Drosophila melanogaster: one gene and its partners. The gene in region 2 interacts genetically with the main gene of each other region. Each region holds a gene or a part of one and is shown on either strand. Other genes may lie near its edges.

Region 1 (8,755 bases), 3.7 Mb from region 2:
GTCCTAAGCCTTTTATGGGCCTTCTCAAGCGTTGAAAGTCACAAAAAAATTAGTAGGCAAAAGGAAGATTCATGGAAGATCAAGTAACTGCCAAAACAGGTAACTATGCAGGTAAACTGGTAAATTCCGTGTTAAAAATACAGCTCCTTTTGACAGGACCTCTGATTTTATATGAATTGTATAATTTTTGGCTTAGGATAAATGAATTGTAGGCGGTAATCGGAATCAAAATTCGCGCGCTTCTTAACAGAAATCAGTTTTTTATGTATTAAATTAAAAAATATCGGTGCAAAAAACTAAAAATATAACAATAAAACCTGAATAAATAAATATATGCAATAACATAAGTATACAGACTAAAGGAACAGTCAAACAATATTAAAACGATTACATCCTACAAATTATATGAATAAATCACGATTTGAACGACTATATACCTTATAAATAAAAACAGTGAACATACAACTCTAAATACTGAAGATCCTTAAACTCCAATGACTCTCAAATCATGTTACATGCCTAGTCTTGCAATGGCTGCACAACTGTGAAACAGCTGTAAAACGCGTTGCCATAAAACACTTAGGGCCTCTCGCTCCAACGCAACTGCAACGCATGCCATCTCGCTCGGCGCTCTCTCCCGCGCTGTTCGGCGAATTCAGACAAAAACAAACCATTAAAAGCGCGGCGAAAAGAGCGCGTGCACTTGTCTGTCAAGATTATGGCGGTTTCAGTCACTTTGTTGCTGTTTCTGTGTGTTCGATGTTTTTTTTTCGTATTTCGCAGCGACGGCGAAGAAGAAGAAGAGCGCCGACGGCAACTCCTATTTTTCTTCATGTGCCATTTTTTTGTTTTTGGCTTTCTGTTTCGGTTCTTGCTTGAGTGAGTGAGCGGGAGCAAGCGAGATGGCGCCACATCAAGTTGATATCGTGTCGTCGTCTTCATCTTTTGCTGTCGCTCGTCGTTTGCGTTTGATAAATTGCGTTTATAAGAAAGAGATGAATTGTCATGCACACAACACACACTTCTCTGCCGGCGTCGACGGCGACGCCGACTGCACTGCCGGCGTTAACATCACTGTAGGTGTTCGCAAGTGTGTGCCTGTGTGTGTGCGTGCGTGAGTGTTTAAATCATATTGGCTGGCCCCCCAATTGGTGTGAGTGCACGTGTATGGGTAAGCTTTCCCTCTCTGCCCTCTCTTTCGCTCGTCTGGGATTGGAAGTTTCCAAATGCAATTTTCCTTGAGGTTTTCCCGAGTCGGTTCCTTTTCGGCTTTCTTCTTTCATTTTTTTTTCGCTCACTGGGTGGAGGCCCAGCCCCCTAAATTCGCTTCCTGCCCCTCCTTTTGTACACCCCCCCCCCCACCGTTCGCTCTTCTCGCTTCTTGATTATTTTCCTTTTTCGGTGATTTAAATTTCATGGTCCCTTCAATTTGGCAAAGTTCTAAATATTAAATTAAATTCCTGCTTCATTTGCAAAAATTCTTGAGCTTTTCTGGAGCTGTCCGCTTTATTTGCATTCTTCGAAATTTAAGTTATCTGTTCTTATTAAATTTCATCTGAAAACATTTTTTCACTCAGTATTATTCTACGAACTAAGTATATTCTATTCCTCAATTAGCGCTTCTCAGAAAACCTCGAGTTTTCTTAAACAAATAAACTTCATTTGTCTAACATTTCGTTGGGATCCTTGAACTTTGCTACCGCGTCGATCGATCTATTCGAATTTAACTTGGTCACCGATAAGTCTGAAAAGTTCCCACACTTAAGCGTTTCACTAATTTATTGCACTTAATTGATTCGATTTTATGTGATTTTTGTTTCACATAAATTACTTGGCTTTTGGCCCGAGCAGACGCACAAAAGTTGGACGTCTGAAAAAGCCAAAAGAAAGCGAGTCCCGAAACGAAAAAAGGGAAAAAGCAACCGCAAATCAATCAAAGTCTCATAAATTTGTCAAAGTGTTGACAAGACGCAGAAACAGAGCACCTATATCATACATAGTTCCCAAGATTTTGGGGGTTTGGGATTTCGGGATGAAATGGCAACCAGATTAAGTGCAACATCATCTTTTTGACCAGCGAAAACAGACACGGGAAATCCTTTTGGCGAGCGTCGGAAAACAAACAAGGCTATTTTTCATTTTCCTAAAAACGCCGGCCAAATCGCCCCGTCTCTCTCGCTCGCCAGTATCCCCGTCTCTTTCGGCGTAATGGCAACTGCAGCGCCAAGCCAAAAATACGCTGGTGAAAAATGGCCTGGGAATATGTGTTAACTGCTTTTTAAACTGCCACGAGGACGACGACACGACAGTAACAATAACAGCAACAATAGACAGGATTTCGGACTGAATACGAAGATTGGCATACCTTGTTACCCTGTAGTTATTGGTAAAACAAATTGGACTAATTTATTTTAGTTTAAAATGTAAAAAAAAATTTGTACAATCACGCCGAAGATATCACAATTGACTGAAAATTGCCCAAACATACTTGTCATCAAAAAACTTGTTCAAATAATGCAAAAGCCCGTTTCCTCAATTTTTTATTTTTGGTTTGAGATGTAACACCATTTGTACAGGGTATATAAAAAACCAAATGAGAGTAGATTCGCCAAACAGGAGCGCAGAATGACCTGCAAAATATGCAATTTTCAGCGAATGTTTTTGACAATTTATCGCCGTTCCATTTGTTGTTGTTCCCCAAGAAGTAAGAAAGAGAGAGAGAGGAGAAACTCGAACAGCTGTTTGTTGTTGTCAGGATCGCATATCCTTCCAAAGTGGCCAGATCACCGTTACAAGCCAAAAGGACGCAATAAAGGAACTGCAGCGAAAAGTTTGTTTTTGTCGTCCACGTTTCTTCTTCTTCTCCTTCAAGTTTCTTCTCTTTTTTGCCGCTTTTCTTCGAAGGCGTTGCCTATTCGGGCAAAAGTGTGTGTGTGCGAGTGTGTGTGGGGGCGCCAAAAGAGAGCGAAAAGTGAGCGAAAGCTGAAGCTGATGGACAACTGAAGCTTTCTCGCTGCCTTTCAACCTGTAAAGGTGCGGCGAAAAAGAGCCAAGCTGCCAACTGCCACTCACTCAAGCGAAAATAACAAATGGGATTGGTTTTTGCTGATTTTCGACGCCGACGCCGGCAGAGGGGCGAAAAACCCATAAGCCGTCTCCTTTTGGCCAAAGCCAAATAAATTTCAAACGCGGCGAACATTGCGCAAAAAGAGGCGAAAACTGAGAAAGAGAAAGAGATAGAACACCGCTGTACGGTACTGTATATGCATGTGAATGACAAGTGTGTGTATGACAGAAGAGGCGTACCAACAAATCAGTCATCGTCGCCCAGGATGCGAGCGCGCCTGCGCAGGCAATTCGCCGGAGCGTTCGCATAAACCATATATTCCTCTCGCTTGCACTCGCTGAGTTATGGCCAAGAGCGAGTTAATGGCACAATTGTTGCATCTGAACAGAGCGGGGCAGCTGCATGATTGACAATCATGCCGCACCGCTTGCACCCGTTGACTTTGCTGTTGTTTGTCGCTCAGCGCTCTCTTCGCTGTTAGTTAACAGCGATGTTAGGAGTGGAAACACGTCCGACTGTAGCGTAAATTCAAACGTATCTGGCGGGTTGGTTTTTCGATGAAATATCTTTCATCCGCACAGTGTATTTTTGACTGCGAAGCGCGTACGACGTGTGTCTGTGTTGCGTTGCGTTCGAATAAAAAAGAGAAGAAAAGCGAAAAAGTGTTGCCGTCGGTGAAGTTTATTATTATTATGATTATTATTATTGCCCGTTAACCACGCGTTTTGCCATCAATCAACAAATAAACAACACAAGAAACACTTTGGAAATCGCGCGCGTTTTTCCATCGCGCGAACAAAACAATCACGTTTTTTAGTGTGTTTTTCAATCACAATCGAAAAGTTCTCCTTTTCACAATTGAAGGCCAAAATAAATACTGTTATTTGAGGGCCGCGGAGGGAATTTCTTTCAACGAGGGGATCCCGCCGATCCCCCCGCAAAAACAAAGAAACACGCAAATTGCCGTCGCAAAAACACAACAGAATATATTGCATTATATATTAACAATATAATTTGTTCATCTCTAGTAACGTAGTATGTAGAAGCAGCTGTGATAAATAGTGCGCATATTATACGAAAAAAGCAAAAAGAGTATACGACAAACAAATAAAAATTAAAAGCAACCACAACTACTACTATAAAAATAACCAAGGAAAAGGCAAGGAAACTCGCAAAACGAGAGAGAGAGGAAAAGGGAAAAAACGCCATGGATTTATGACAACAACAAATGCAACCCAGTAACAAATGATGTTGCAGCAACTACTACAATACACGAGTATACCAAGAACATCAACAACAACAACTGCAACGGCAACCAACAACAAATTGTATACGATTTTTATAAACCAAACAAATGCTATGTAAATAATTATTATAACAAACACACAAGTAAAAAAAACATTCAAAACCAGATCTCCCGCTCTAGAAAACAAACAACAAACGCGCGCGTAACAAAAACGACAACATCAACAATACAACAAGTATACAAACGTAATAATAATACATAAAATCTAAACAAATGTGCCTGTGTTAAAAAAAAAGAAAGCAAAATCAAGAAGCAAAGCGTTCAAAAAGCAAAGGCTTCCCAATACATGAAAAAAGTGCAAAACATATATAAAAATCCAAGAAAATAACATCCAAAACTGAAGAACTGGAAAAGCCAAGAGTAAATCTAAGGACTCCACACGGGCAGCTACAGTAGAGCTTCCCTAAAACCGAAGCAGTTGCAGCGGCGGAGCGGGACGTCGGTCAGTGTGTTGCGCCCCCATTTGTTGTTCCTACTGTAAAAAGTGGCACAAATCGGGTTAGACGTCGCTCCCAGAGCATTAATGGCTCAGCCCAGGGTAAGTAGATCCACCAAAGTTCACTTTCTAAATATATAGAATCCATATAGAATGGTCCCCCGAGAGTGTTGTTATCCTTAAACAAGTTCCGACGGCTAAAAAACAAATGGGGTTCAGTCAATTTGTAATCAAGTCAAGTGGTGCCGACGGCACTTACAGGTTGTAGTTTATGATGATATTGTAACAGTTTTCATATCATGGATATGTTACCAGTGTAACCAAATCAATCTATAACCAGAATACGCAAAAAGTTTTAAAAATCTTCAGATATTAGTTAATCCAACTTCATGAAGTAGATCTATATAAATATTTCTTATACATGGCCTCCAAGCTTCTCCAATTTAACCCATTACAATCAATTCAATGGGGAATAGTTCTTGTTTATTAGAGCCCTATCAAAATGAATTTTAACTAAGCGTTTCTGAGTGTGTGTGTGTGTGTGTGCTTATGTGTATTGGAATAGGACAGAAATCACATTTGATTTATGCGGGTCATTTTCTGGTACAAGTTTATATAATTAACTGAGTCTGCAGCTAGACCATTTTATTTGGGAAGTGATGGAAATCAAAGATCGCCGAAATAGTGATAGATATTGTATTACATTAAACAACGGTTTACTCTAGAAAATCATTAAATAATGTTTATTGAAAATTGTTAGCTTTTCCCCTTAACTTTTCATTTTCACACCGCAATAGTTGATTCGATTTTTGTTTAAACATGGCTGGGACCTTCACCTCCGAAAAGCCCCCCCGTTGCATAGCCACAATGATTCCACCATTTTCCATCACGTTTATAAGGCATAAATTCTCGCCTCGCTTTTTAAACGGAGTAATAATTTTTACAATCCATCTGGATCGTAAATTATATGCTAATCAGGTGACCGGCAGTCTCCGCTCGCCCGCTCTTCAAAAAAATATTATTACCAAATCGCAGTTAGACTTTATCAATTGATTATCATGGACATGCGAAGTGAACTTGATTTTTATTTAACGGAGCAAAAAGACCTCAAACATGGCCGTTTGCCTGTGTGTGTGCTACCAATTAGCGTGTGTGTGTGTGTGTGTGTTACCAAAAGGTGGGCCATGCTCTTTGGGAGCATTAAAAAAATCAGAAAGAAATATAAAAAATAAAAATGGATATGGAAATGGAAATGGAGATGGGAAAAAAGAAATGCCCGCGGGAATTTTGTGTGTGTCTGCGTTACTGGCGAATAAATTTACGCCTGTGGTTTAATACCCGATTCTGTGCCGAATTTACCTCTTTGAATCCCCTTTTTCGTAATTCTCCTGCGGCTCTTTACCCGAATCGCGCCATTTCAATTCCATCAAATGAATTTTTCGACTCGGGGCGAGAGATATATGTATGTATGTACGAGTATGTGAATATATACGGGTGTTCTGTCTGTTTGTGTGCATTTGATGCATATAATTTTATTGCACATTTTGCACATTGCCAGCGGCCCAAAAGCGATCCATTCAGTTTATGCCGCTTCGTGGTTTTATTATTTACAATTTTATTTTTACCATTTTCCATGACTTTGCGCTGCTATAATTTGCGAAAAATGGCGGGAAGCAATTTTCGCGGGTTCTTCTCAAACCAAACTGCACATGCATTTTTATATATATTTAATTTGATTATTTTATGCCATCGAAACGGAGAGCAAACGAGAGAAACAGTGAGAAAGAGCGGCCGTGTAAAATGTGCAAAAAAAAAAAATGTGCAATTGCAATTTGTATAAAAATGTGCATTGCAGCTGCTGCCATTCTCCCCCGCGCCCCCTCACTTTTCCCACCATTTTTCAGTTCGTGTGCCATTTCAAACGCCTGCGAAATGCAGCACAAAAATTGTTTTGGTGTTATTTTAATTTAAAGGTTAACCGCAGCGTAATTTGTGGCATAAAATATAATTCGTCTATCGTGTGCTCGCCTCTCCCACTGTGTTTGTTCAGCTATTTTTTGTATTTCTCGTTCGCTTTAGAAATAAAATCAAAATCAAAATAGAAAAGATCAAGGAGAGCGGAGCAGCGGAAAATGCCACAGTCGATTCTGTGGTTTACTTTAGTGGCCAGCAGCATTTGCAAAAGTTGATGGAAACATTCGGAATTCGACTTAGGTGGCAAACTAAAACATTTTTTTTGTTGAGCCAGGAAAAAAATTCTAGTTATATATGTATATATTATCAGTATATAACAATGGTCCGCTGAAATGTGTACTTTCAAATATACCAACTGCTGAACTCATTCCATTAATAACAATAAATTGAATTTGAAATTCCCTATGTTACAAAATAACATTCGTCAGCAAAGTATAGTAATATTTTTTCCCGCCTAGTCCTTATCATATTGCAATAGTTTAATCTTTGCCAGCGACCAACCTTCGTCGCGAATTCTTTTCTAATTAAGTGAGCAATTCTCCAGTCTTCCCAGCCTCACCGCATGACTCATGGGCTCCCCACTTACCCCCTTTGCCACGACCCCCCGTTTATCAGGAGATTTCAGATATATCTTGGCTTTCGGTTGAGAATCCGCTCGGCAGACGCTTCACATGCCAGCGAAAATTGAGCGAATAGGAAGCGTCAGGCTGAGAGGAATATTTATAAACAAATTACATATGCATATTTCTGCAAGGGGTGCGCAGGGGGAGGGGGTCATAAGACTCTATATGGGGCCTCCACTTCTCCCACTTTCCACCGATGTTGTTTTTCGTGTGCTAAAGAGCTTCATGTTTAATGATCAAATTGCGTGCCTGATTCTTGGGTCGGTGCCTGCTGGTGCTATATAGTTGTTGCCTTTGTTGTTATAGCCTATAGAGTAGTATTATTATTTTACTTATTTTTTCCCGGCCTCTCTGGCTTACTACAGCACACACATAGTTGCCAAGTTTGACGAGGTCGCTGGCTGCCGTTGAAAGTGTTTTCATTAGTTTCATTTCTTTTTGCATTTACGCTTAAAAGTTTTTTAAATATCGCTGCCCGTTTTTCGTTTGCCGTAATTTCCCCAAACATTAAGTCAAAGTGTTTTGCTAATATTCATCGAATAAAGTGGAATTACTATTTTTGCTGGTGGTGAACTCTTTTCTCCATCTTTATAAAAAGAAAAGAAAAAAAAACGAGGGACTGAAACGGAAAAAGTGTACAGACAAAAATGTGAAGAAAAAATGTGTTGTAAAGTAGAGGAAAAATCATTTAGACAAGTTGCACGCCGCTCATTAAATTAAATGAGCCATCAGCACGCAATTTATTTTCGTATTTTTGAGTAACTTTTGGCCCCGGCAAAAATGCCAAACTCCAAAAGACTTTTGTTTCTTTGGGCCAGAAATTTTGTTAGCAAACTTGGCCAAGTCCTTGTCTTCAGCAATTTAATTAAATAGCCGAGAAGTTGGGAATCAGATAGTTAATTTAGGCCAATAAAACAATTACTGAGAGTATATTTTCTTCTACTTGCATATTCCATTCGTCATTATAAATATAATATAATCAATTAACTCGAGACATATTCGTTTAATTCCATTTAAACACAAGTTTATTTTATTTGCATGCCATACTGCCTTTTCCGCCATTTTCCGTCAATTTAAATTTCAAACATTTTCCTTAAATTTCGGCCATTAAATTGTCTTCGCTTTCGCTGGGCTTTAAATTCCCAGAAAGCAGCTAAAAATATTTTCAAAATTTCTTTTCTTTCGATTTATTTTTGATTCGATATTTTTATGTATTTTGCTTGTATTTTCCGAACACACGAATTTTAAATTTACCTTTTTGGACAAATTTTTCGTTGCTATTGGCCGCGCTTTGTTGGCTTTTTGTTAATCATCTGCCAGTTTTTGTGTCTGCGAGTTTGGGGCTCATT
Region 2 (8,426 bases):
CCTTTAAATTATTAAAATTGTTATAGTGCACGGACCTTCGAGCCTGCTTAAAGAATCGAAACTTTAAATTACTACACAAGGTACAAGGTATTAGGAGAATTAACATAGTTTCACATGACATTATTTATCAATAGTTTTTAACTGATGACACTCTGACATTTTTCAAAAAGCCATCAATCTTTGAGCTCAGTTGGAGCGTCCGTAACAGAAGGTGTTAACGAGGTCCTAGCTGAGATTTAAACAATTCGAAATTTATATCTAGGGGCCATAAGCAGTACGATGCGATGATGCACACAGTTCACATTTCATTCAGCTTACGGGGTCATCATTGCTAAAAGCGGCAGGACAATTCGAATAAGTGTGACAGGAGCAATTACAGCCTTATCCTGATGTCTTCGATGTCAACACACCAGTGCTCAAGACATCGCAGGCAATTCAAGGATATGTAGGACGCACAGGACCTCGAACAGAAGCCAAGGACACAGGCGACGCGTGACGCATTGGGAAAATATTTGTACAAAACATTGAGGATATCTCAAAAGTAGCACAGCGTTTCGGCATCCTTGACTTTGATTGGTGCCGATCCAAGGACGAAACGCTATATCCACCCATTGAGACGACCTCCGGAGGAGTCGTCGGTGGGCCTCCGATCGAAGGTCACCCAGAAATGCATCCTGTCTGGCTTTCTCTTCAGTCTATAGTGAATTTTAGAAACTGAAGATTACTTCATTTATCTAGACATCTGGCAAATTCATCAAGATGATTTCCCCAGCGCAGACTTAACGACTCGATCCGATCTGCGTGCAGTTTGATTGTTAACTCAAACAAATCCCATAACGCAAAAGAAATTTTGAATAATTCTCGAGCATCGCTACTAATTAGCCGCCGATTGAGGCAATCAAATTGATTGCCTGCGATCCGAACCAAAGAAAACCTCACGCTGGGATCCCCGAACCCACCATAGACCGATTGACGCTGATACTATATATAGACGGTGTATCGGAATAGTCGGGGAATTTACACCAATCTCGAGTTGTTTGTTTTGTTTGTTGATAATTTTTCTCGGCCCTTTACTATTTTATTCCCAGCGGGTCGTCGCCTGTTTCACTGTGATAATGAGTGTGATATACTCGATTGTTTTTATCACCCCTTCCCCAATTATGTGGTATTTGGTATATAATGAGAAAACCGCCGGAGGAGATCAGCAGCAACTTCAAAGGAAACTGGCCCCAGCATGTGATCATCGCAGTTTTTCTCAAGCTAGAAAACCAAACAAATCCCGAGACTAACTGACACTGTGGTATCCTATTGAGTCTTATGTAATGCCCCACTGTTGGCAGGTGCTGCATTGGCCCATTTCTAATAGGCTTTTGAAGTTTCAAATATTAATCGTCTGCAGGCAGCAGGATCACCAATCGATAGGCCAATAAAAAACAATACCCTGTGTCATCTGTGTATACAAGGCAAAGTGCGGTATTTTGGATATATGTAAAAAGCCAGCTTTACCACTATTGGCAGGTGCTGTATTGGGCCATTTATAACAGACTTTTGAAGCTTCAAATATTAATGTGCTGCAATCAGAAGAATCGCCAACCGATAACCTAATAAAAAGATAATGCCTTATTATCTGCGTAAACCAGACATATTACGAATTAGTTTGACATCTCTAGACTTATATAAATGTTTAAATGGTTTGAATTACTATAACTACTATAATAGTCATATGGAGAACTTATGTGCATAATTTAATCCAAAAAATGTTACGGCGACAACTCAATAATTAATAATGTTTGTGGATAATAGCATACAACTTTTTGGCAAGAAATGACAGTTTAGTTTCCTAATGATCTTGGTCACTTTGGATTCGCTTGACCCACGGCAGCTGATAACGCTGCTCCGGGAAAAATAACGATGAGATTGACTTCAACAGCAGCCAGAATATATCTGTGGGCTGGGAATTAACACATTGGCCTCCTCCAGGCGCGTGCCCGTTTCACCTTCCCGTGCATTTATGAAAAGTCTGCCGGACCGACCCACCGAACCGTCCGCTGTCTAGCTCTATACGAGTAGATGTGTATCTGGCTGTTAACCCCTCTGGAATTGCCAAAAATGTGCAACGGCATCAGCGAAAGAACGGCAGGAAAGATGGTCGGAATCGGGGAGGGGTTCAAACTCCAAAGGATATAAGGGACATGGGACATGCAGCTAGTCGGGCACAATGGGATGGTCCCGATTCACTGTCAAGGTAATTTATTAATTCGACAATAAAATCGCACGAGTTCTTGGGACGAGCTCCGGATTCGCATTCTATGTTGGGTTTGGGTGCGGACTTGCGATGGGGTGTGTTGTGGTCGGACACTCGCATGTGGGCCTTACAACTCAATTAAAGTTGCCTGGGTTCTGGATCTGAGCTCGCTGCATTTCCGTGGAGAACCGGGTGGGCAAAGTATTATATGACCATGTGCTAGGTTTGGATTAAGCTTAACAGAGGAATTTGTGAAATCCAATCGTTCGAAAGTGAAAAAGTTAAGTGCCCTTATGCCACGTAAACCCATCATTAAATATTTACAAAAACAAACCATTCATAAACAGCTAGACAAGTTAGTTTAAAATCTTAGGCCATGTTCATGTAAAATAATTCAACTAATTAATCTTTTTAAGGTATAATTCAATAAGTATATATCTAAATTCAAAGACCTAGTCAAAAGTAGTAGCCCTCGCCCTTATTTATTGCGTTAAAAAAGGATCCTAACAATATTTAAATAAAATGAGATGAAATTATTTTAGTAAATGATTCGGTATCGAAAGAATTTTATTTTTGGGGAGCTGTTTTTCCTTTCTTTGATTGATAGATATAAACATAAGTTATCGGATGGTTTTATATCCTACTCTACACCCTTATTGTTAAGTTTACTGCAAAACCAGAAAGGAGGCTCACATTCACTGGCAATATAGCAATCACAGGACATCGGAGAGATGCGAACTGCAGTCTCTTCTGTCAAACTGAAAAACGCCATAAATTTTGTGGAACAATGGAATCTGCCAGAGTATGCGGATGGGGTAAGGGTAGAATTCGCACATGCACACATATGTCAGGAGTATCGATATGTTAGGGGTGTTCAACGGGGGTGGCTAATAAAATTTATCCAGGCCGCGTAAGCCGATCAGAAAGTCATGTAAACACAAAAGTGGCTGAGAGATGATTGTTTTTTACCAGTCAATTTAGCTGAGCTGATTTCAGGTTATACGCGAACCTAAGATGGAAGTAGATTTTTAGATTACCAGAAATAACCTTCAGTTTCTAAAAGAATGAGAAATAGTAAATCGTGAAGCCTGTGGCATTCTTACCCCTTACTGAAATGAATGTAACAGGTAGAAGGCAGCAATTGCAGTGCTACAAAGTATATATATTCTTGATCCATATAAGTATAAGTATAAGAGCTATAATGTTATAATTAAACATGAAGATCCTACGCTGTGCAAGTTTTGTGCCACAAATTTAACTCAAGATTACCACTCACAAAGGATACATTACCATTTGGCCATTAAAAATTACAGCATCCATAGACAACCTACTTAAAATTTATAAAAACTTGAGGGTTATATCACAGAGTTACCGAAAAAAAGCGTAAAAGCTTTATATTCTCAACAATATTATGCTATTAAAATATTGCTGGTTTTCTGCTGTTATAGAATCATTTTTAAAAGTATAACGTAAAAAATAAAATAAAACTAGTATTCATTTGAAAAATCAGCGGGCATATAATTTATATCATATTTTTAAAATTTAGGCAAAGGATGTTTGCATAAAGTTTTTACTGTTTACTAGTCATTTTGGAAGTGCGTTTGTTGGTTTTTAGGCAAATACCGGGCACAGGAGTGAGTTTGGGAATCGGGAGTTGCGCACTTGCTTGGCCACGAGGGCAAACAAAAAGCGCAAACACGCGACCCTCGGCCACGCGTATTCCTGATCCCAGGGATCGGACGTAATGTTATCCTTTGGCCGCCCAGTGCCACGAAATAAATTCGGAGGGAAAGGGCATCGGGTTCCGGGAACAACTGGCAGCCAGTCTTCGGTGTTTTGCGCGCTGGCAAAAATCCAGAGAAATTTTTAGGGAACCATAAACGGGCCGGGGAAAAAGCCTCTGCCCCGAAGGAACGTTTTCAGCAACAGTTTACAGTTTTTATGTCTTTATGATTATTGCAATTAGAGGGAGATCGGCTGAGAGTCGCGCCCTCTCGCTCTGCGCACCTCATAGGTAGGCACCTCATGGCCGTAATTACTGCAGCACCGTCTCAAGGTCGCCGAGTAGGAGAAGCGCGCGGGCGGATAAATCGCGATGATAATGGGCGCGATGGGTAGGTAATAAGCCGCGCAGCAGGTAGGCACCGTACGGATAAAGTTGCCAGGACCTCGGATAACTTCCCCTCTCCGTGCCTGCAAGGACATTTCGCCGGAGGGGTGGCTGCGAACAGCAGGCGGCAAAGTGTCATGCGCAGGGATATTTATGCGCTATAACGGCGAGCGTGTGCCGAGGGCTCTCTGATTTTGCTATATATGCAGGATCTGCCGCAGGACCAGCTCATTCGCAAACTCACCAGCGTTGCGTGCACATCGCAGAGTTAGAGAAGAAATCTAGCAATACACATCCGATATGGCCACCACAAACAGCCAGAGCCACTACAGCTACGCCGACAACATGAACATGTACAACATGTATCACCCCCACAGCCTGCCGCCCACCTACTACGATAATTCAGGCAGCAATGCCTACTATCAGAACACCTCCAATTATCAGGGCTACTATCCCCAGGAGAGTTACTCGGAGAGCTGCTACTACTACAACAATCAGGAGCAGGTGACCACCCAGACTGTACCGCCCGTGCAACCCACCACCCCGCCGCCCAAGGCCACCAAGCGCAAGGCCGAAGATGATGCTGCTTCCATCATCGCCGCCGTGGAGGAGCGACCCAGCACACTGAGGGCTCTGCTCACCAATCCCGTGAAGAAGCTGAAGTACACCCCCGACTATTTCTACACAACCGTCGAGCAGGTGAAGAAGGCTCCCGCCGTAAGCACCAAGGTCACCGCCAGCCCCGCTCCCAGCTACGACCAAGAGTACGTGACTGTGCCCACGCCCAGCGCCTCCGAGGATGTCGACTACTTGGACGTCTACTCGCCCCAGTCGCAGACGCAGAAGCTGAAGAATGGCGACTTTGCCACCCCTCCGCCAACCACGCCCACCTCTCTGCCGCCCCTCGAAGGCATCAGCACGCCACCCCAATCGCCGGGGGAGAAATCCTCGTCAGCTGTCAGCCAGGAGATCAATCATCGAATTGTGACAGCCCCGAATGGAGCCGGCGATTTCAATTGGTCGCACATCGAGGAGACTTTGGCATCAGGTAGGCATCACACACGATTAACAACCCCTAAAAATACACTTTGAAAATATTGAAAATATGTTTTTGTATACATTTTTGATATTTTCAAACAATACGCAGTTATAAAACTCATTAGCTAACCCATTTTTTCTTTGCTTATGCTTACAGATTGCAAAGACTCGAAACGCACCCGTCAGACGTACACCCGCTACCAGACCCTGGAGCTCGAGAAGGAGTTCCACTTCAATAGATACATCACCCGGCGTCGTCGCATCGATATCGCCAATGCCCTGAGCCTGAGCGAAAGGCAGATCAAGATCTGGTTCCAAAACCGACGCATGAAGTCGAAGAAGGATCGCACGCTGGACAGCTCCCCGGAGCACTGTGGTGCCGGCTACACCGCGATGCTGCCGCCACTGGAGGCCACAAGCACCGCCACCACCGGGGCACCATCGGTGCCAGTGCCCATGTACCACCACCACCAAACCACCGCCGCCTACCCCGCTTACAGCCACAGTCACAGTCATGGTTATGGCCTGCTCAATGATTACCCTCAGCAGCAGACCCACCAGCAGTACGATGCCTACCCGCAGCAGTACCAACATCAGTGCAGCTACCAGCAACATCCACAGGACCTCTACCATCTGTCTTGAGGTCCGGCGATGCTCAGTTACTCTCTTCCCCAGAGCGGAACCGAAAGCCGTACCGCCACGAAACCGAAGCGCACTTCTCTCGACCATTTGTAGGTGACACGCAAATGACACAGCCGAGAACGAAGCTGCGACGCGATGAGTTGCACAGTAGAGGGCGCACTCCCTACGGTGCCCAGGACATTTTGGGCACAAGGACGAGTGCGCAAGTGCAGAAGGCAGAGGCAAAAGAGGCAGCGCAAACAGAAAAGGAGCCTTGCTGCGCGCGGAACCCAGTGGCTGGCCATGATGGGTTCTCAGCGATCGATTAGCTGCGGCCAAACACAAGCCCAAAACACTCAGCTGGGAGTGATAATGGCCAAGAGACTTGGAGACTGACACACATGTTTTTGTACATATAGTAGTTAAGATATTCCTATCATAGAATTCTATTTATTTAAATATACGAGTAAAGTAAATCGATCGAATTTAAACAAATCAAGTTGAACATTCATTTGGCAATTTGTGAAGAAGAGTCTTGGGCATGCTGCAATTTGACTGCTTTAAAATTTTAAATTTATAGGCCGTGGGCCGCGTATGTGGAATACATTTCATATGTATATGTGTTGAAATAAAATTAAATGCCTTTCAATGATAACTACTCAATAAATTCTTAAAATAGTTTGGATCAACGTATGGTATTTGTCTAACTACTTTCACCGAAAACATATCACAAGGCAAAGTTTACCTTCAGCCTATTTTCATACCTTATATATGCATATAATACATATATATGATAAAAATGGAGTTTAGGAGTTAAGGAGTTTAAATTATTTAAGTATAAGCCTAATATTTAATTGTTCGTTGAGAAGCTTAAGAGATCTCTTGGTTTACTTTCTGATGAATTGCACATGGTTGAAGCATTACTTTCGAACTTATACGAAACGCAAACGATTTAATGTTGAGCACGAATCGTACAAATTCGAGCAGCTGCATTTTGTCGCTTCAGTCCCCCTCATCCCTGACCCATTGCTATCTCCCGGATTTTCTATTAAATGCACTCTTTTCGCCAGAGAAAATGTCACATTTTGGTCTGGCTTCGGGGCATATCTACCACCGCATCCCTGCTCCCTTCCTCCCTCCGCCGCTGCACGTTCCTCTATTGAAGTGAGACATTGATTGGTAATTTTTCATTGCACATCCGTGACAGTTATGGGTAACGCAACGCAAAAGGAAAAGCCCGGTGCGGAATCGGATTCGGAATCAGAATCAATATCAAAGGCAAAGGGGATCCATGTGCAGTCGAATATATCCCGGCACCATTTATCCGACTCATTAGACAAAAGTGGTCGGTGGGTGAGTTCGAAGTGGCATCTGTGGGCACTTTAGTGTTAGGTGCGAATTGGTGGCATTGGTTAAGCTTAGTGGTGATATGTATCTATGCCGCTGCGAAAGAAATTTTTTGTCTGATTTAATGATTTAGATGGCTTCAATGTGCTACTTAATTGATTTGGAAACCATGTACATTTTGTTCAAATATTTTATAAAATAAATATTTAACAATGAACAGACCTTCAATAGATCAGATTCTATCCTACCCTTCTAGAATGTAGTTATGACAGACAAATTAGTTAACAGATATAAATCAAAAGACCGAAAACGGAAGAATCCCTTTGCAAATTCGAATTTGTGGCATTTTTGCAATTATATAATTAGGCCATAAATATATAAACGATGGTGGTTGGGTAAAAAAGCCCTACAGTGACATACATATCTACAATACAAACTACTTGGCAAATACAGTATGCGTCAGAAATATAAGTCAACGAAGTATTTATATTTTCTAAATAGTCAACTTTTATTAAACCCGTTACGCGTATTAGAAAAGGGTATACTTGATCCGTTGAAAAGTATGTAACAGCTAAAAGTTTTTCCGTATAAGCTAGGATTCCAGAGATGCACACACACAATTAATACGTTGAAATTTCTTGTTCGTAATCCTACTAGGTGATAGTCGAAAAACTCGACAATACCATTCCCTCTAGTTGTTTTGCAAACATCAACCAAGCGGATTTTACTGGTTCCTTTGACTCCTTAAAGTTATCAATTAGTCAACATTAAACAAACGAAATTGCAAGGACATTTACCCGTTTCTTAAAAGTCAACATCTCTTTTCATACGTTTCCTTGGAAGTTAAAGAAAAACTCAAGAAACTGGTAAAATATTTACGTGTAAATTGCGAAAGAGTTACGTTAACTCTTCCTGTGTCCTTCTGCGAAACGAAGTCTTTTTTATCCTTTTTATTCGCATTCTGCTTTATTAGAGGTCCTCGGAGTCGGTTCTTAACTCATTCGCGAGCCATAAACCCCGAGATTCGCGGAAAGGGTATTCGTTGTGGGCGGAATCCTTTTGCAA
Region 3 (8,631 bases), on a different chromosome or scaffold from region 2:
TTTGAATAATAATATGCTGCTTAAAAGAGAACACGAAGTGACTCTGCTTGCATTGTAGTATTCATTTTAGGAAAGCCAACTTGAAGGATTCTGGGTAGAATGGCCACTTTACCCTTCCTTATCTTACGAACTGATTGTTCCTATTGTATTTAGTTATTTTATTCAGAATAGTCCAATTACCTATTTTTGCTTAGTCACTTCTTAGTCAAAAACTATATTTGTCTAGTGCCTGTGCCGTAGATTGTTTCAGAAAATCAACAACTGCTTCAATGTTTAACTTCCCAACAATAACCTTTCCAGCTTTCCAGACGTTTTCAGCAAAACACTGGGCCACGTGCCAGATGCTAAGATGTAAACCACCCACGGATTGAGATTTTGGACCAAACCCCTCCAGATAGATCGTATAAATAGCAGACACAGATCTGGATGCTGTATAGTACTTGAGTACAGTGTTCAACAGACAGAGCTTAAGATGAGACCCGAATTCGTCCTGGCCTTTGGTTTGGTTGTCCTCGTGGCGACCGTTTATGGTGGCACCGACTCATCCTCGAGCGACTCGTCCTCTTCCACATCACCCACTTCCAATTCATCGACTCCATCGACTTCCAGCTCAAGTTCGACACCCAGCTCTTCGTCCTCCACCTCAACTCCGTCCAGCAATAGCACTACGTCTACTTCGTCCTCCACTCCTAGCAGCTCTTCTTCCACTTCGCCCACTTCCTCCACCTCATCGACGACTGCCACAACCACGGCCCCCTCCACGTCCAGCGACACGTCCTCCTCCTCCACGAGCTCCGACAGCGAGGAGGTGGACAGGCTGAGGCGCAGGCTTCGCAGGCTCCGGCGGCTGAGGCGTCAGGAGAGGCGCCAGGAGATTCGCCGGGAGAGGCAGCAGGAAAGGCGCCAGCAGAGTCGTGCTGGAAGAAGGCGCCAACGTAGGGGATAAACCATCGGCTTAACCCGATCGAACAATGAAATGGTCCAAATTGAAAAATAAATGCATACACAAAAGCAACAATCGTAGTTATGACTTGGTAACTTGGCACCTTAAAAACAAGTGAAATCATTTGGATCGAATTGTTAGTCAAACAAAGAAATTCAATATTCGGTTTCATCTTGGAAAAGAAGAAGAAGGCTACACTATATACTCTAATGAAGAATCCTAAGTAAATCATTTTCCGATCTAGTTAGTTGATCAAGTGGAACTGGTCTAAGTGCAGACATAATTCCAGATGATAACTTAATCGATTAGGAACTTGCAAATGAAAGTGAAAAATAGGAGTTTGTTCTAAGTTTTCTTTTAGTGAGAATTCATTCTTTATGTACAATATGCCATCTTAATCTATATTTAAGCTTAGAGGTTATTTAAATATGGCTTTCTGTTCAAAAGGCTTAACAATACATATTCATCTATTTAATAAACAATGTACTGTGTTTGCACACATGCTAACAATACGTTCAGCCAGCCAATCCAAAAAAAACCGTTTTGCTTAGTTGCTAACTAATTGGAGATTTGTCATTTGTCCCTGGCTTTCTAGCCAGAGCATCACCTTCAGGTACGTCAACCCAACCGGCTGATCCACGCCCACTTCGCCTAGAGGCAGTGAATCCAGCAGAAGCCGTGAGATGACCAGGTAGCGTTGGGTCCAAGGACTTTGAGGCTCTCACGGACTTTCCTATTTAGCAGCTTATGGACTGACGATCTGTTGATATATTTTGTATGATTCTAATAGTACTGTGATCCGATAAAATATCTTTCAGATTGTAACGAAAGCTATCTTGTGCTCGTTTCGAATTTTTTTGGACTGAATCGTAAACACTTCGTGGAATTAATTATCTTTAGTTCTAAAGCCTCGTGAGTTTATTTCGAAACAAGGTCTCATATATGTTCTGCATACTTTCCGGGCGTTCTGTACTTTAGGAAATTCGTTACTACGATAGTATGAAGCCGAGTCACTAGTTCAGATAGAACCAAATGGAGTGAGAAAGCTATGCGAGCTAAGAAAGCTTGCTGGTACATGCTGTGATTCTGTGGAGGACTGAAAACATTTCTCTTATGGTGTCTTAAGGTATGCAACACAAAATTGCATTCACATTTATATCTAGGGTTTATATTGGTTTTTCATGTAACAATTTTATTTGCATTGAGTTACAATGTCATGTGAGTTGGGATTCCCATTTCAGCCCCGACGGCGCTGCTGGCGCTGGCGCTCCCTCCTCTCACGGCGTCTCTCCTGGCGTCTCTGACGACGTCGGTAGCGACGACGCCTCTCCTTGCGGTTCCGCTTGGATGACGAAGAGCTACTGCTGGAGCCGGAGGATGAGGAGTCGCTCGGGGAGGTGGACGTGGTGGGCGATGTGGAGGGCGAGGTTGTGGAAGGAGACGGATTAGTCGAGGATGAGCCAGTTGAGGTGCTGGGGCTGCCAGAGGTGGTTGATCCCGTACTTCCGGTGCTGCCAGTGGCCGTACTTCCGGTGCTGCCTGTACCCGTGCTTCCGGTGCTGCCAGTGCCCGTGCTACCGGTGCCCGTGCTCCCGGTGCTGCCAGTGCCCGTGCTACCGGTGCCCGTGCTCCCGGTGCTACCGGTGCCCGTGCTCCCGGTGCCCGTGCTCCCGGTCCCCGTAGTATCGGTGCCCGTGCTGCCGGTGCCTGTGGTATCGCCACCAGCATAAGCGGTCGCCAAGATGGCAATAAGACCAAAGGCCAGGACGAATTGGAATCGCATCTTTAGCTCCGTCCGTTGAACACTGTACTCAAGTACTGTACTTTCTCTGCATTTAATTAGGGTATTTATACGCATCACCCACGATTTTTTTGGTTCATTTTCAGACTGTGTGTTTGCTCCGAATCATCATCATTTGCCGCACGTGGCTTAGTAGGATATTCTTGAGACAATTTGGCCGATGACTATCGAAAATACATTTGTTTGAACAAGTCAACAATGGGGGAATTGTGGATTTGTTAGATCTAGTTTATTCTAAGCAAGTGTGCAAACACAGGCAGCTCGGGTATTGTTTTGAGTTCTACTGAATAGCTATTCAGCCATTCTAGCAGTGCTTTAGCACTCGGCCTTATTTAAATAACCGCAAAACAGATGCGTGTTTGGTTCATAGAGATTTTGAAGGATGTATAAAAATAATATAAGATAGCAATGCCTTGAACGCAGTGGAGTTCGAGTTTTACTAAGGTTCAAGAGATAGGCTTATGGCGGGATTTTGACTCTTTAATGGAAGAGGTTCGTGTGATTAAAGCTGAATTAATAATTACTGAACTACCATAAACAGTTCTAAGGAATCTATACAATCTTTCAAAATGATTTCGAAATCCAATTTCGAATCGAAGCGAAACGAAACGGTCACACTGCTTAACAGTCGCGCCGCGAGACGTTGCCACCCGGCTAATAAAATACCAACGTTGCCGCTCAGTGGTATTCCCGCCTCGGCCGTGCACTGGCCACACCAGCCACCGCCTTCGCTTCGCCGCCCGCCATCCAAATTCGATTCGTTGGTGTTTTTCGCTGCGCTGGTGTTCGTGTGTTCGCGTTGGCGCTGTCATCATCATATCGTATCGCATCGCTCCGCTCCGAAAACCGTGGCAATTGTCTGTTTTTTTACCTGCCAGCGAGTGCGTTTCAGTTGCCCGCCAACCGGCAGGAATCGCAAATTCACGTGCGCCACTCTCCAATTGGACGAGTGCCTTTAAAACAGTGCAACAAGTGGTTTTTACAATTCTTACCAGCATTCAGTTCAAAGTGCCTAACAAACACACGCACACACATACGTAACCTACCTGACCAGCGCGCATATGTGTGTGCATGAGTGTGAGTGATACAACAACAATACAATAGCAGCAACACAGCTACGAAAATAACTAACTGCTTTCGTCGCAGTTTTTCTGCAAGTGTATGGGTTAATTGCGCCGAAAAATGTTAATTAATTGAAGCCCAATTGGAAATCGCCAGTGGCAAGAAAAGCTGAAACTAAGATCTGAACGCAGATCTGGTGAGAAATCCCAAACGCGAGGATCTGTATCGCGTGTGTGTCAATCGGTTTAAATATAGATCAGATCACAAGTGCACTTAAACAAACAGAAGGGAACGAAACAAACAAGTGATTAACCGACAGGTAATTACAGCTGCTCTTCTTTTGCATATTTTGCGCGTTTTCTCTGCCAGATATTATTCGCTTCTCCTTTATTGTTTTACCTTTCTTTCGCTTCTAATAAGACTCTTCTTTTTATCGGTGTGGCTGGAGTTTCTTGTTTTGCCACCCATACAATCGCACAAATACCTGTACAGCACATACACTCACACGCGCACAGTTATTGGCTGATTGGAATGTGTGTGCTTTGTTGTTGCCGTTCTCAATACATATTTGTTGTCAACGGTTTCTGCTTATCAATTGGAAAGCACGAACACAGCTACACCTGCACTTCTTATTGGCTTGGGCAGCCCTCCTGTTGGATAACAATAATGAGTGGCAAATTCTGTTCGGCCTGGCGAAAAATAGTAATATGCACTCCTGGGAGGGAGCTGGCGCTTTTCATTTTCCATTTCCGCTGCACATTTGTACCTTTCTTTCTGTGTCAATCACCTGTTCTGCAGCGCTGACACTTTTCACATGCCAATCGGCGGCAAAAATCAGAGGCAGCAACAAACAAATTAAAACGTGTTATATATACCCTTAGTCCCGTCGAGGTGCCAACTTTTGATCGCCAACTTTTGATTCCCACCGAATTCCATTCGAAAAGTCCAACCAAATCCCATTGTGCTCAGAGTCTTATTTGCACTAATCCCATGCAAATTCCAATTGGCGCGTTCCCATACAGACCAACATCGCTAGATAGAAAATCGTCTGGCGATCTTACGGTAATTTGATTTTGTAGATTAGCTCTTGCTTTTAAATGAAAGATATATAGAGCAGATATATTATGATTATTTACTTTCGATTCGATGCTAAGTAGTAATTGTGGCTTAGCGAGTTTTCACTGTTTTCAGTCACCGAATCTGGCGGTTTCGAAATTCTCAGCTGGCAACACTGATGCCAATTCGCCGTGACGTGGACTCCTTCTTTCGCCGCACAGTCAGCTGGCTGAATTCGCCGGTGTTTATGTTGTGGGCGCAGGAAGCAGGAAACTGCCAGTTGATTTCAAACTTTCAAGCGGCGCGCAAGGACATGCCGCAAGAGTACGGAAGTCGCAGCTCCTAGGAACGGTAGCAACTCCTTCGTACGTGTTTTACTCGCTTGAGTCTGTGCTCCTCAATTATTCACGAAGCAAAACAAAGTTTATGGCTCTGCAACTGCCCGCCGTTGCCTCGAATATTTTCAACTAGTGCAAGGCGAGCTACAAAAACAATGCAATGGCATGGGACAAGTGTCGAGATAGCGAGTGAGACGCACATAGCGTGCAGGAAAGAGAGAGCGACAGTGGCAAAGTGCAAATGTATTAAATAAATAACGAAACGAAGCTGTACAGAGAGAAAAAAATCATGTTGATTATGAACCATCGTAGAGTAAAGTAAAAGTGGGCATGCGAAAGATTTTGAGTAGGGTAAACCCTTGTTTCTCTCAGTGTCATCTAATATGTGCCTGCGGTTTGGCTACTTTCTGCCCTGTCTTTTGCTTTTGGCCGGCTTTCTTGGCGCATTGCATAAGTGTTGGCCATTTCACCTCACTAACGCTCTCCCCTTCCTCCTCCTTCTACCCGCAGATAAGCAGCCAACGTGACGTACTCGGGCGGATTAATAATTGAGCAGATAGCGGATAGCAGAGAGCAGCTAGCAGATATCAGATAGCGAATAGCGGACACAGCAGGCCCAGCAATGGAGTCCATGGAGTACGAGATGGCACGCAACATGACGTTGCTCTTCTTCCTGGAGCGACTGCTGGACAAGGGCGAGCCCCGCACCGTCCACGACCTGTCCTGCCAATTCGGCAACAAGGAGTTCACCAAGGAGATGCGCCAAATCGCCGGTGGCAGTCAGTCGGGTAAGTTCGCACTAACTAAGCCAGCACTTAGTAACTACACTTCGCAACAAGCAAATCCATATAGCCAAAATGCAACTGAAATAAAAATGAAGAGGCCTGCTATATTGATTGAATTGAAAACAGCTCTCTTTAATCAAAAAACTGGATCGAATAAAGTCAAGGAAAGTGCGCTGAAAATGCCGTGGCATTCAATTCATGCTCTCATTTGAAATGTCGCCAGCCGAGCCTGGGAAATTGGAAACGTGTGCGGTGGAAAGCGGTAGTGTACAGTGGACATTGGACACTGAACGGTGGACACTCTTGTTCGGCTGCGGTACATACATATACAATACATATTTGTGCACCTGCGGGTTTGCGTTGTTCGTCACAGTCACAGTCGATGATTGTGTTGTTCATGTTGCCTTCGAGTGGTCGGCGTCCAAGTGCACATGTCATTGCCGTTTCCATTTCCATTTCCAATTGCAGTTTGCCGATTGCCAGTTGCCGCAGGGGAGTCAGTCAGTCAGGCCTCCTCATTTTCCATCTCCCGGCTGATCTCAATGCCAAAAACCACAAAAACATGCCAAGGGTTTATCGCCTTTCATTGCAGCCGCCAAGCTGCAATCGATAATGCTCCACCCTTGTGTTTTCCACAAGTGGTATGGATATATGGGTATGGGGGTGTTGGTTTACAACTGGTCTACGAAAAACAGGCAAAGATTCTCGAGATTCTCGACTTGTGTACACGTGTTGTACTTCCATTGACAAGTCGGCACATGGAAAACTCTGGCCATGCTGTTTATCAAAATGCACGGTTAACTAACGCGAGCGACTAAAAATAGACGCAACAAACAACTTTCGGTTTTTATAAATAGCTACCACTTAGTTGAGAGTTGGGAGTTGGGTGTTGGGTGCTGGGAAGGTGCAATGCACTTTCCCTCGAGGCGAAGATATGTGAACACATTTGTTTGATGTTCTCACTTGTGGAGAGGAGGGTTTTGAAAAAGAGCCACAGGAAATGGCACGCATTTGTTTACTCCGCACCTTGGGGATTTATAGCAAATCATTAAGCTACAGCGAATCATCATGAACTTGAGTTTTATGATAATGGTCTTATGACATCGCTAATTATAATAAAATTAAGGATGTACTGCATAATTTTTATAAGATTTTTGTCAGTATTTTGTGAATAAAATAAAAAGTAGTTGACCAAATGGGGAATGTCCTACCTTCCTGAACTCGCAGTGAAATTCCCTATCGAGTGGTATTCCCAGCTAGAAATGTTAGATTTCGACCATTTTTTGCAAAATTTGATGATGTAACCCCTTATAAAAAATGCGAAAAATGATCAAATTTTTTAATTCTGAAAATCGGCAGGAAAGTGATAGGGATCTTTAGTTTAAGTAAAAAGCTGCACAAAACGGTCATTACTTTCGCTGGGCGATTGTTTTTAGCCAAGTTATGAGCTAAGACCTGTTGGAGATTATCAACTTTTGGCCATAATCGTGTTTAAGACAAGAATTACCCATACTGCTCTTGCTTGTCACACTCTTCGACTTCGACTTGGCTAATTGCAACAAGAAAACAAACATTTAACAAAATGTTTATCACATTTGTTGATTTTTTAGCCATGTGCGTGACTCTGCCGCCAAGACAAATGGTGTTTACCTCGGGTGAGCAACATTTTCGCCGAAATACAATAGTTTAGTCTGTGACTTAAAGCGCTGGTTTTACTTTTGGCCCAGAACGCAATAGACAAGTTGGAGAAAGTTCAGGGAAATACGCGGCTAACACGCAAATCGCAGCTGGATTAGAAGAATAGACTGGGAAACTGAATTAATTGAATGGGAAATGTCAAGGTCTGGCTTATAAATAGAGAAGAGTGAGTTGCGCATTCCCGAAATTGGATGTTCCAAGTATGGAACCATCGAGCCAACGTTAAGCAGTTCCTTGGCCAATGGCATTTCGATCCATTTCGGCCACTAATCCCGGTTTTCATTCCACCCGGGACTGACCTAAAATCCCACAAACATATCTTATGCCTCTTCAATTTTGTCAACGTGTTGTTTGCCCAACTTATAAGCCGTTAAGGCCGATGGGTAGCATTTTGCACCCCCGCCCACAATAGTCGGCCATCCAAGTCAGCCATTATGTGGTTTTTGGCCAGGAACGGATTGGGGGATTGGGGGAGTGGCGGAAACTTTGTAATAGAAAAGTGTCGATTACGTGACAAAAATGTTCAATTGAAATTTCAATAAAATTGCATGATATTCTGGGGACTGAAGACCACATCCATTTGTTGCTTCAATAATAAATGGAGGTGTGTGTGTGCCACCATGCATATTCCCCAGCGATTGATGAGGGTTCTCTGGTGGGGAAACATCTCCGGGAAATTAACGTTGAAAGCAATTTTCTAGCCGGGCAGGAGGAGAAACTCGAACGGCGTTTATTGGGTTAGACAAACAGTTTTGGAGAGTTTGCTAAACTGAACTGAAACTCGTTAATGGCGAGCTTAAATTTCGCTGCTAATTTAACGGCCTGCCAGAAGTAAACACAACCATTTAGCCCAGTTTATCGTTTTGCCATTTTGACTTGCCAGCGGCTTTGAATAATTGCACACACACAAGCAGCTGGGAAAAATAGAAAAGGCATTCGCACCAAAAA

Evidence for each region. Genes that interact genetically often act in the same process or in processes that back each other up.
Region 1: of ftz (region 2) and hth, changing one enhances a phenotype caused by changing the other (phenotypic enhancement), as found in Drosophila melanogaster (one study listed by BioGRID).
Region 3: of ftz (region 2) and egl, changing one enhances a phenotype caused by changing the other (phenotypic enhancement), as found in Drosophila melanogaster (one study listed by BioGRID).

The regions. Positions count from the first base shown.
Region 1 is NT_033777.3:10,609,141-10,617,895, reverse strand, and holds the start of hth (homothorax), read left to right. Parts: upstream 1-3,619; 5' UTR 3,620-4,896; coding exon 4,897-4,911; intron 4,912-8,755. UniProt on the Drosophila melanogaster protein: All isoforms are required for patterning of the embryonic cuticle. Acts with exd to delimit the eye field and prevent inappropriate eye development.
Region 2 is NT_033777.3:6,859,739-6,868,164, forward strand, and holds ftz (fushi tarazu), read left to right. Parts: upstream 1-4,585; 5' UTR 4,586-4,655; coding exon 4,656-5,403; intron 5,404-5,550; coding exon 5,551-6,035; 3' UTR 6,036-6,506; downstream 6,507-8,426. UniProt on the Drosophila melanogaster protein: May play a role in determining neuronal identity, may be directly involved in specifying identity of individual neurons. Required during embryogenesis for the process of body segmentation.
Region 3 is NT_033778.4:23,741,694-23,750,324, reverse strand, and holds the start of egl (egalitarian), read left to right. Parts: upstream 1-3,495; 5' UTR 3,496-4,125; intron 4,126-5,140; exon of another isoform or gene 5,141-5,227; intron 5,228-5,710; 5' UTR 5,711-5,822; coding exon 5,823-5,988; intron 5,989-8,631. Other genes in the region: CG34105 (uncharacterized protein), read left to right, coding at 473-946; CG13560 (uncharacterized protein), read right to left, coding at 2,181-2,726.